2 linked regions of the Saccharomyces cerevisiae S288C genome follow. The protein of the gene in region 1 interacts with the protein of each later gene in a biochemical or structural test. Each region holds a gene or a part of one and is shown in the gene's direction. Other genes may lie near its edges.

The links. Proteins that work in one complex are often made in the same cells at the same time.
Region 2: the proteins of TRM112 (region 1) and TRM11 form a complex in vitro, tested with the Saccharomyces cerevisiae proteins (one study listed by BioGRID).

What each region holds. Positions count from the first base shown.
Region 1 is NC_001146.8:703,706-708,695, forward strand, and holds TRM112 (RNA methylation protein TRM112), read left to right. Parts: upstream 1-4,082; coding exon 4,083-4,490; downstream 4,491-4,990. Other genes in the region: AGA1 (Aga1p), read left to right, coding at 1-2,171; PET494 (Pet494p), read left to right, coding at 2,434-3,903; serine/threonine protein kinase FPK1, read left to right, coding at 4,818-4,990. UniProt on the Saccharomyces cerevisiae protein: Acts as an activator of both rRNA/tRNA and protein methyltransferases. Together with methyltransferase MTQ2, required for the methylation of eRF1 on 'Gln-182'.
Region 2 is NC_001147.6:84,193-88,691, reverse strand, and holds TRM11 (tRNA (guanine-N2-)-methyltransferase), read left to right. Parts: upstream 1-1,934; coding exon 1,935-3,236; downstream 3,237-4,499. Other genes in the region: HRP1 (Hrp1p), read right to left, coding at 1-848; TRM13 (tRNA:m4X modification enzyme), read right to left, coding at 3,428-4,499. UniProt on the Saccharomyces cerevisiae protein: Catalytic subunit of an S-adenosyl-L-methionine-dependent tRNA methyltransferase complex that mediates the methylation of the guanosine nucleotide at position 10 (m2G10) in tRNAs.

The sequences.
Region 1 (4,990 bases):
TATCTTTCGCTCATTTTACCTACCTGTTCACAATATTGTTGGGATTAACTAATATTGCCTTGGCATCTGATCCAGAAACGATTCTAGTGACGATAACCAAGACAAACGATGCAAATGGGGTTGTTACAACTACAGTTTCACCCGCGCTAGTCTCCACATCCACTATCGTTCAAGCTGGCACTACGACATTGTATACGACTTGGTGTCCATTGACGGTATCCACTTCATCTGCTGCCGAAATAAGTCCTTCAATATCGTACGCTACTACCCTATCCAGATTTAGTACTTTGACATTATCTACAGAAGTCTGCTCCCATGAGGCATGTCCTTCGTCATCGACGTTGCCAACCACCACCTTATCTGTGACTTCCAAGTTCACTTCATATATTTGCCCTACTTGTCACACAACCGCTATCAGCTCATTATCCGAAGTAGGAACTACAACCGTGGTATCATCCAGCGCCATTGAACCATCAAGTGCCTCTATAATCTCACCTGTCACCTCTACACTTTCGAGTACAACATCGTCCAATCCAACTACTACCTCCCTAAGTTCGACATCTACATCTCCAAGCTCTACATCTACATCTCCAAGCTCTACATCTACCTCATCAAGTTCGACATCTACCTCATCAAGTTCGACATCTACCTCATCAAGTTCGACATCTACATCTCCAAGTTCGACATCCACATCTTCAAGTTTGACATCCACATCTTCAAGTTCTACATCTACATCCCAAAGTTCTACATCTACCTCATCAAGTTCGACATCTACATCTCCAAGCTCTACATCTACCTCATCAAGTTCAACATCTACATCTCCAAGTTCTAAATCTACTTCTGCAAGCTCCACTTCCACTTCTTCATATTCAACATCTACATCCCCAAGTTTGACTTCTTCATCTCCAACTTTGGCTTCCACTTCTCCAAGTTCAACATCTATTAGCTCTACTTTTACTGATTCAACTTCATCCCTTGGCTCCTCTATAGCATCTTCATCAACGTCTGTGTCATTATACAGCCCATCCACACCTGTTTACTCCGTCCCTTCGACTTCGTCAAATGTTGCAACTCCTTCTATGACTTCTTCAACTGTTGAAACAACTGTTAGTTCACAAAGTTCGTCTGAATATATCACCAAATCCTCAATTTCTACTACTATCCCATCATTTTCCATGTCTACATATTTCACCACTGTTAGTGGAGTCACTACAATGTATACGACATGGTGTCCTTATAGCTCTGAATCTGAGACTAGCACATTAACCAGTATGCATGAAACGGTTACAACAGACGCTACAGTCTGCACTCACGAGTCTTGCATGCCCTCGCAGACAACAAGTTTGATTACATCTTCTATAAAAATGTCCACTAAAAACGTCGCAACTTCTGTAAGCACCTCAACGGTTGAATCCTCATATGCATGCTCCACATGTGCTGAAACGTCACACTCGTATTCTTCCGTGCAAACAGCTTCATCAAGTTCTGTAACACAGCAGACCACATCCACAAAGAGTTGGGTAAGTTCAATGACAACTTCGGATGAAGATTTCAATAAGCACGCTACCGGTAAGTATCATGTAACATCTTCAGGTACCTCAACCATTTCGACTAGTGTAAGTGAAGCCACGAGTACATCAAGCATTGACTCAGAATCTCAAGAACAATCATCACACTTATTATCGACATCGGTCCTTTCATCCTCCTCCTTGTCTGCTACATTATCCTCTGACAGTACTATTTTGCTATTCAGTTCTGTATCATCACTAAGTGTCGAACAGTCACCAGTTACCACACTTCAAATTTCTTCAACATCAGAGATTTTACAACCCACTTCTTCCACAGCTATTGCTACAATATCTGCCTCTACATCATCACTTTCCGCAACATCTATCTCTACACCATCTACCTCTGTGGAATCGACTATTGAATCTTCATCATTGACTCCGACGGTATCTTCTATTTTCCTCTCATCATCATCTGCTCCCTCTTCTCTACAAACATCTGTTACCACTACAGAAGTTTCCACTACTTCAATCTCCATACAATACCAAACTTCATCAATGGTAACAATTAGCCAATATATGGGCAGTGGATCGCAAACGCGTTTGCCATTAGGAAAGTTGGTCTTCGCCATCATGGCAGTTGCTTGCAATGTAATTTTCAGTTAATATCAGAACAATTTAATTCATTTATATAAACATATACAATCAATCGAATAAAAATACAACAATGTAATGAAAACGCTCTCTATTGATATGTATTTGCTGACGCTTATAAATTTATTAAAGTTTTATTTTAAACCGTTCTAGTGACTTCACGCGGGGAGATACATCCAATAGTAAATTACAAAATAAGGAAAGTATAAAACAAACGGATAACAACAGTAGCTTGGAGACAGCAAAGGCACCCGAGCAGGCGTGGAAACACACGATGCATTTGAAAAAGGGGAAGAGGAGTATTAGCACAGTATGGCGACTTTTATGGAAGCGTTTTTATTCCGTAAACTCTAAGACGAATATGCATTTTTCTCGAAGTAGGAAGAAACCAGTGACAAACTTCACAAGGACAAACGGACTTCTCCTGAGCTGTAATGGTGATACATTCCCATATCTGCGTACACTGTGGAGATACTTCAATGCGCCTGGTAATTTGATGTTTGTCACAACTAATATTGTCGCATTTATGGGCATTGTTACGTATAATACGCTGGTTACTATCAGCAGTGAAAGAGCATTCGAAGAGCAGATGATGGCGGCACAGGTGAGCCTGGCGAAACAGAGAGAAGAGCTCGAGACTACGGCCCTCAGCTTGCCACGAGATATTGAATTGAGGGGTGAAGAAGATGATATTAAATGGGAGCAACCTGATGTAGCACATGTCCGGGAAGATCCCTTAGTCGAGGAGCAGAACGCAAAGTTAGACACCCCTATAAAACAGTATACTTTAGGAGATTTGATTTTGAATAAGAGGGAAAATGTCACTGATTATGACTCGCAGCGTGCGAAGGCATCTATATTCCACATGCTATATGCTTATATGCTGTATCGAGATGTTATTCAACCCACGACCATGACTCAAAATAACAACAGCGAGGAATGGCGGCGTGAAGTCGAGCTTTTGACTAAGGGAAAAGAGGTACAAGGTACTCATCGAAGGATAGACGTGTTCTACGACCTGTGGAATAAAAATTTCGATAAGATAGTGACATCACCTGAGAAAGTGCAGAATTTTCAACTGCCGAACTGGTCTAAATACCCAACGATATTGAAATTCATCTGCACAGAACTTCACGACAACAGTTTGAAGACCTTGGGTGAGTTTAAGCAATTCTATGGAAAGGTGCGATCTAACGAGGTAAAAAAACTGTTGGGTCTTTGGCTGTACGACCATTCCTTCCTTTTCCCCCATAATATCTACGACAACAGAACCGAAGAAGATTTTTACGATATATTAATTAATGACTCCATGCAGGATAACAGGATATTCCAGAAATACTCTTCAATTGTAATGAATCCCTACAACGAACGTACTCAACTTTTTTTCCCTAATGTAAATTCTCCATCTGTCAACAAGCCAGTACCGAGCATATCTCTGGAAACATACACACGACTACTCAAGGGATATATCAACTTGCAAGAAACAGGCTGCAAATACGACTATAATGACAATATATTCAAACTAATCAGCATCCTCAAACTAAATTGTTTCCTACAACGCAACAAGAAGAAACACGCAGGGCCAACCGTCAGAATCCTACTGCCGAGAGATGAAGACCGCTCTCAAATACTTGGTACCATTTCGCAGGCAGAGAAGAGAACCTGTTATCAAATTCTAAGCAAAAATAGGGACGTGGTTGCGCTGCTGAAACGCATTTCTGATATCCAGGCGGACTCTTCTTAATAAAACATGTAAATATGTACCTCCCAAATCACACTCATCATCTCATACGAAACTGTATCTTTTTGGGTAAAATTTTCATCGATGAGCTTTAAAAGCAAAACTACTTCACCAGCAATGAAGCTACTGTAGCATCCTATGATCTCTTCGGCTCTACACATCATATTACTAGCCTAGTCAACATGAAGTTCTTAACCACCAACTTCCTAAAGTGCTCCGTTAAAGCCTGTGACACCAGCAACGACAACTTCCCCCTACAGTACGACGGCAGCAAATGCCAATTGGTACAGGATGAATCTATCGAGTTCAATCCAGAATTCCTTCTGAACATAGTCGACCGCGTAGACTGGCCTGCAGTGCTCACGGTTGCTGCCGAATTGGGAAACAACGCCTTACCTCCTACCAAACCATCCTTCCCATCTTCGATCCAGGAGCTCACCGATGACGACATGGCCATCCTTAATGACTTGCATACTTTACTGCTACAGACGTCCATTGCCGAAGGTGAAATGAAGTGTAGGAACTGCGGACATATCTATTACATCAAGAACGGCATTCCAAACTTGCTGTTACCTCCACACCTGGTATAAATCAAGCGAGATCTCTGTGTGTGGGCACGCAAGACGAAAAGACAACTATATACACAGCTATATATGTAGTAGTAGCCTCATATACGTATGGCATCAAACATGTAGCATAAACAACCTAAAAGGAAAACAAAGACTGAGATCTAACCCACCACAGTTTCTATTTGAGCCTTCCCGTCGCGCGTGATTTGGAGATACAGATTCTAAGAGCTTTAAAGAACGAGATACTCTCCTGTTTTAAGGACTCACCGGCATATAAGGCAGCAAAGTCGCCGGTTTGAAGGTTCAGGGGCCTTGAAGGTAGTATCATTTGGAAAACAGCAAGAGAATATGGCTGGACACCATCACGAACATGAACAAGAGCGCGACCACGAGCAAGAACACGAACACGATTCCCTTCAACGGCCTACTACTGGATCAGAAAGGACTAGAAGTATATCCTTTTCGAAGTTGCTTACGCGGTCATGGAAAAGGAATGCGAGTTCATCGAACAACATGAGTGT
Region 2 (4,499 bases), on another chromosome or scaffold:
GATTGACCGGTATCCTTATCTAACATCAGTTGCGCATCGATAATCGTACCCCACTGAGAAAAAAATTCTTCAAATTCCTTTGGTCTCACATCAGGACCAATACCACCAACAAAGATTTTACCGGTTTTATCTTGCTCGTCTCTTGGGATAGCTCTTTTTGGGTCGATAACTTTACCATCGAGGATATGTTGTGTCTTTACCACTTCATCAACACTAGAAGGTTTTTCAAAAGATAAGAAACCGAACCCTCTAGATCTACCTGTTGCAGGGTCTTTCATGATTTTCAAATCAGTGACGGTACCATACTTACCAAAATATTCGCGAAGATTATCTTCCGTAGTGTCCCAATTCAGACCACCAATGAACATCTTGCAACTTTCTTTAGACAAATCCGCTTTCGAACGTTCCTCTTTGGTTTGAGTTACTTGCTGTTGAGGTGGTGATTGAGAAGATGGTTGCTGGAATTGTGACATGGTTTGTTGAAGTTGTTCCCAAGGTAAGCCAGAAGGTCCTGCAGAACTAGCGTTGGCATTGGCATTTGCTGATGTAGCGCTTTCTTGTTTTTTTTCATTCTTAGTGTCTTCATTGGAACCTTCCTTGTCATTCGCAGTGCCATCTTGCTTACTAGAAGATGTGTCTTGGTTACTATTATTACTACTACTGTTGTTACTATTTGGATTATTTAGTTTGTTCAAGCTAGAAGATAATGCTTGTAGTGCGGCTAGTTGATCTAATTGCGAGGTACCACTGCCAGCCTTATTTTGTTCTTCTTCTTTTTTGACTTCTTCAGTAGTGGTAGGCTTATCATCGCCGTAGATGTCGTTGAAATCTTCTTCGTCAGAGCTCATTGCTTATTTAACTTATTCTCTATTTTCTCAGACTTGTGTATACTGCTAAAGTTCTTTATAAATAAAATATTTGCGTCTTTTATGAAAAGATTGTAATATAAACAGTAATATTAATACAGAATAAAAAAGGGCCAATTGTTTGTATTATGCACGCTTTTTCAATTTCTTGTTTATTGAGTATACCTTTTCTGTCCGTATTTTTTCTTTTTGTTTCTTTCGCAAAAAAGGTTAGAAAGAAATCTAGTAAGGTATGAGATTTTAGTTATTAAACACTAAAAAGTAAAAGATACACGTAAAAAATTTATAACAGTATATTGTACTAATACTTGACTATCTGCAAAATTAAATAACTAGTCGAAACTGTTCAATCCTTTGTTTTTAATTACAGTGGCGGAAAGGAGAGAGCGGAAGAAAATTTAAGAGCGCCTGGGCGTGTGGAAAGCATGCGCCTTTTATACTTTTTTTGCTTTGTCCAACAAGAAATCTCGGCGCTGCTCGTAGGGAGGGGCTGCAAGAAAAAAAATAAATAAAAAAAAGAAAGTATTTCCGGGTAAGATTAAAAATGCATTCGATTTAGCCGCCCAGTATTTCGCAAGATCTTCCAAGGTTATAGATGTTTAGAAGAGAAAGAAGTTGGGATCCTTAAGAGCATGTTTCTTTTTCCACGCATCTACATTAGGATTTACTCTTTGTTTTTCAACTTCTGCGCAAGATCTTCAAGAACAAATCGAAGAGATAAAAAAATTGATATTTATAGTCAATAGGTTTTCGATAGCATGACCCTCCGGACTTTTGATGGATAGATAAAGCGAAATTTAGAGGGTTTTTGATCTTCTTCCTTGCAGCAACCTATATTTCTTAGTATTTTGTATATCAATAGCCTCCATAATGTTATCTATAGCTATTAGTACTTTAAGAGACTTTTATTACCCGTATTTTGGATTCTTTTCCGAAGAAAAAAGAAATGTTTACGTTGTGGGAAAAGTGAAAAAAATCGATGATTATGGGCATCGAGGTCTTAATACCCGTAATATGGAGATGAAATAGCATAACTAAACACATTGTATATAAGGTAAAAACGGCAGCATGAAGAAATATCTGCTGTATATGGTACAAGTTCATTTGAACTTTAGAAGAGCAGAACTGGAATCGTTAGCAGACCTATATAATCTTTCCATAGACTTTTCGCAGTACGATGCCAATAGCCCTTTCTTTATTGTAGAGCTGGAAAATGATCAGCAAGCAAAGGATTGGATTAAGAGGTCTATTTTAACCAGAGGTATTTATGAGTATTGGGGGCAGGGTACAACGCTCGATGAGCTGCATAAAGATATTCAGCGTCAGTCTAACTTTGAACAGGATCTGCAATTGAAATTCAAACATTCCACTTTTAAGTTCGAATTCGAATGCTATAAAGGCAACAGTAAAGCTAAGAGGGTAGAGCAGATTGAAACTTTCCGTTACCTTGGCTTTGAAGGAAAGATTGATATGAAACATCCTCAAGAGGTTTTCACTGTTATAGAAGAGTACACACCAATATCGGAAAACGTTGGTGGTAAGACCCCCACCAGGATTTATTTTGGTAGGCAGGTTCAGATGAGCAATAGGAGTGCCATGGAGAAATATGATTTGAAGAAAAGACCTTATAAAGGTACAACTAGCTTCGAAGCAGAATTATCGTTGGTCAGCGCCAATATAGCTCAAGTGAAACCGGGAACTATAATGTACGACCCGTTTGCAGGTACAGGATCCTTTTTGGTAGCTGGTGGGCATTTTGGTTCTTTAGTGATTGGTTCGGATATAGATGGCAGAATGATTCGTGGTAAGGGTGCTCAAGTGAACATTTCGGCCAACTTCAAAAAATATGGCGAGAGTTCTCAATTCCTCGACGTGTTGACCATGGACTTTACAAATAACGCATTAAGAAACAATCTTGTCATTGATACTATTTTGTGTGATCCTCCATATGGTATCAGAGAAAGCATAAAAGTCCTAGGTGCTAAGGATCCAGAAAGATTTCTAGGCAAGGAAGATATGGAAATTGACGGTGAAAAGGCATATTTGCGTCGCGATTATATTCCAACCAAAAAACCGTATGCTCTAGATTCATTACTGGATGATCTTTTACAATACTCTTCCGAAAGATTACCGATTGGCGGAAGATTAGCCTTCTGGATGCCCACTGCAAACGACGCCAATATTGAAACTATTGTCCCAATGCACGAAAATCTAGAGCTAAAATACAACTGCGTTCAAGAATTCAATAAATGGTCAAGGAGACTACTGGTTTATATTAATAGGGGTAGCACTTTCAATGGATCAAGTAATCATGGCATAAAACGTTCAAAAGATAATTTCAGGGAGCGGTACTTCAATAATTTTAACTGAAATGATGCATAAGCCCTTTGTAATTTTAAGATATATTTACTTACTCTTTCTCTTAAAGAAAAAAAAAAAAAAAGAAGAACAATTTATCTATACCTATATTTATGTTTATGTTCCATCATGTAGAAAAGTTTCATTTAAAATTAATAGCCCGTCAAAAATACAAGTGAAAAAAAATAAAAATTAAAAGCTCTCTATTTCTTATAAACTAACATAGCAACGTTCTCTAAAGAAACATCGGATTCTACGTACCTTATCAGCTCCGCATTAAACTCTGTAAACTTTTCTTTCACATATACCAACCTGCCCTCGTCGATTACACGCCTAGCCATTAATCCAATATTTTCTCTCTCTTTAATGGTTATTGTATATGGCTCAGCCCCTTCAAACGATTCGACAACGTTTACTATATCTGTAATAGCCGTACCTGGTTTCCTTCCGCAGGTACCCCATGAACAGAGTTTAGTTAAAACGCGGAAAAAGGTTTCGTACGTCAAGATGGAGCCATGGGCCCTATACTTTTCAACAAGTGATGTAACGTAACTGCGGTTGACATAGTCGCCGTAGTCACAGACATGCCTGCAGCACATGGCAATACAAATTGCCTTTAGTTTGGGGTTGCATCCGTTGTTATCGTCGCCATGTAAAATTGAGCTGTTGCCTATACACCTCAAAGTTAGATCTGTAGCTACACCACAAAGGTGTTTTGAGATGCACACGTATTGTATATCGTCCCCAGGTGTCGATTTTAAAATCGGATCCATCTTCAAGTCCCTAATGTCGATCTTTATCCTTTTGATGCTGGGGCAGCTAATAGGTTTGGAAGGTGAGTTTGACTTTATTTCTGAAAAATCGTCTTTTATCTTTTTATCGAACTTCATCCTATTAGTTGCTCTGTCAATCAACACGAACTCGTTCGAGTTTGAACCCGAGTGCTCCGCTGGAAGGCTTGTCAATTGTGTTAAAAGGTACAGACTGACATAGCGCGAGAATTCGGCCCTGCCACATCCAAACTCAATGAAGTTTAAACTTTCTGGCCTCTCAAATGCGCCAGCGTCCACTAAGTTTTCGATCAGTGAAGACTGTTGTACAGCATGTTTAGTATTCGAAGGCAATTGAGGGAATCGTTTTAGAGACATAAGCTTATTGTTCAGTTGTCTCAAAGGCAGCTCGTCCATGGATTCTCCCTCAAACACCTTATACAGCAATTCAATAGATTGTACCAAATGTTCCGCAGTAATATCTATTTTAACAGACGACGATAAC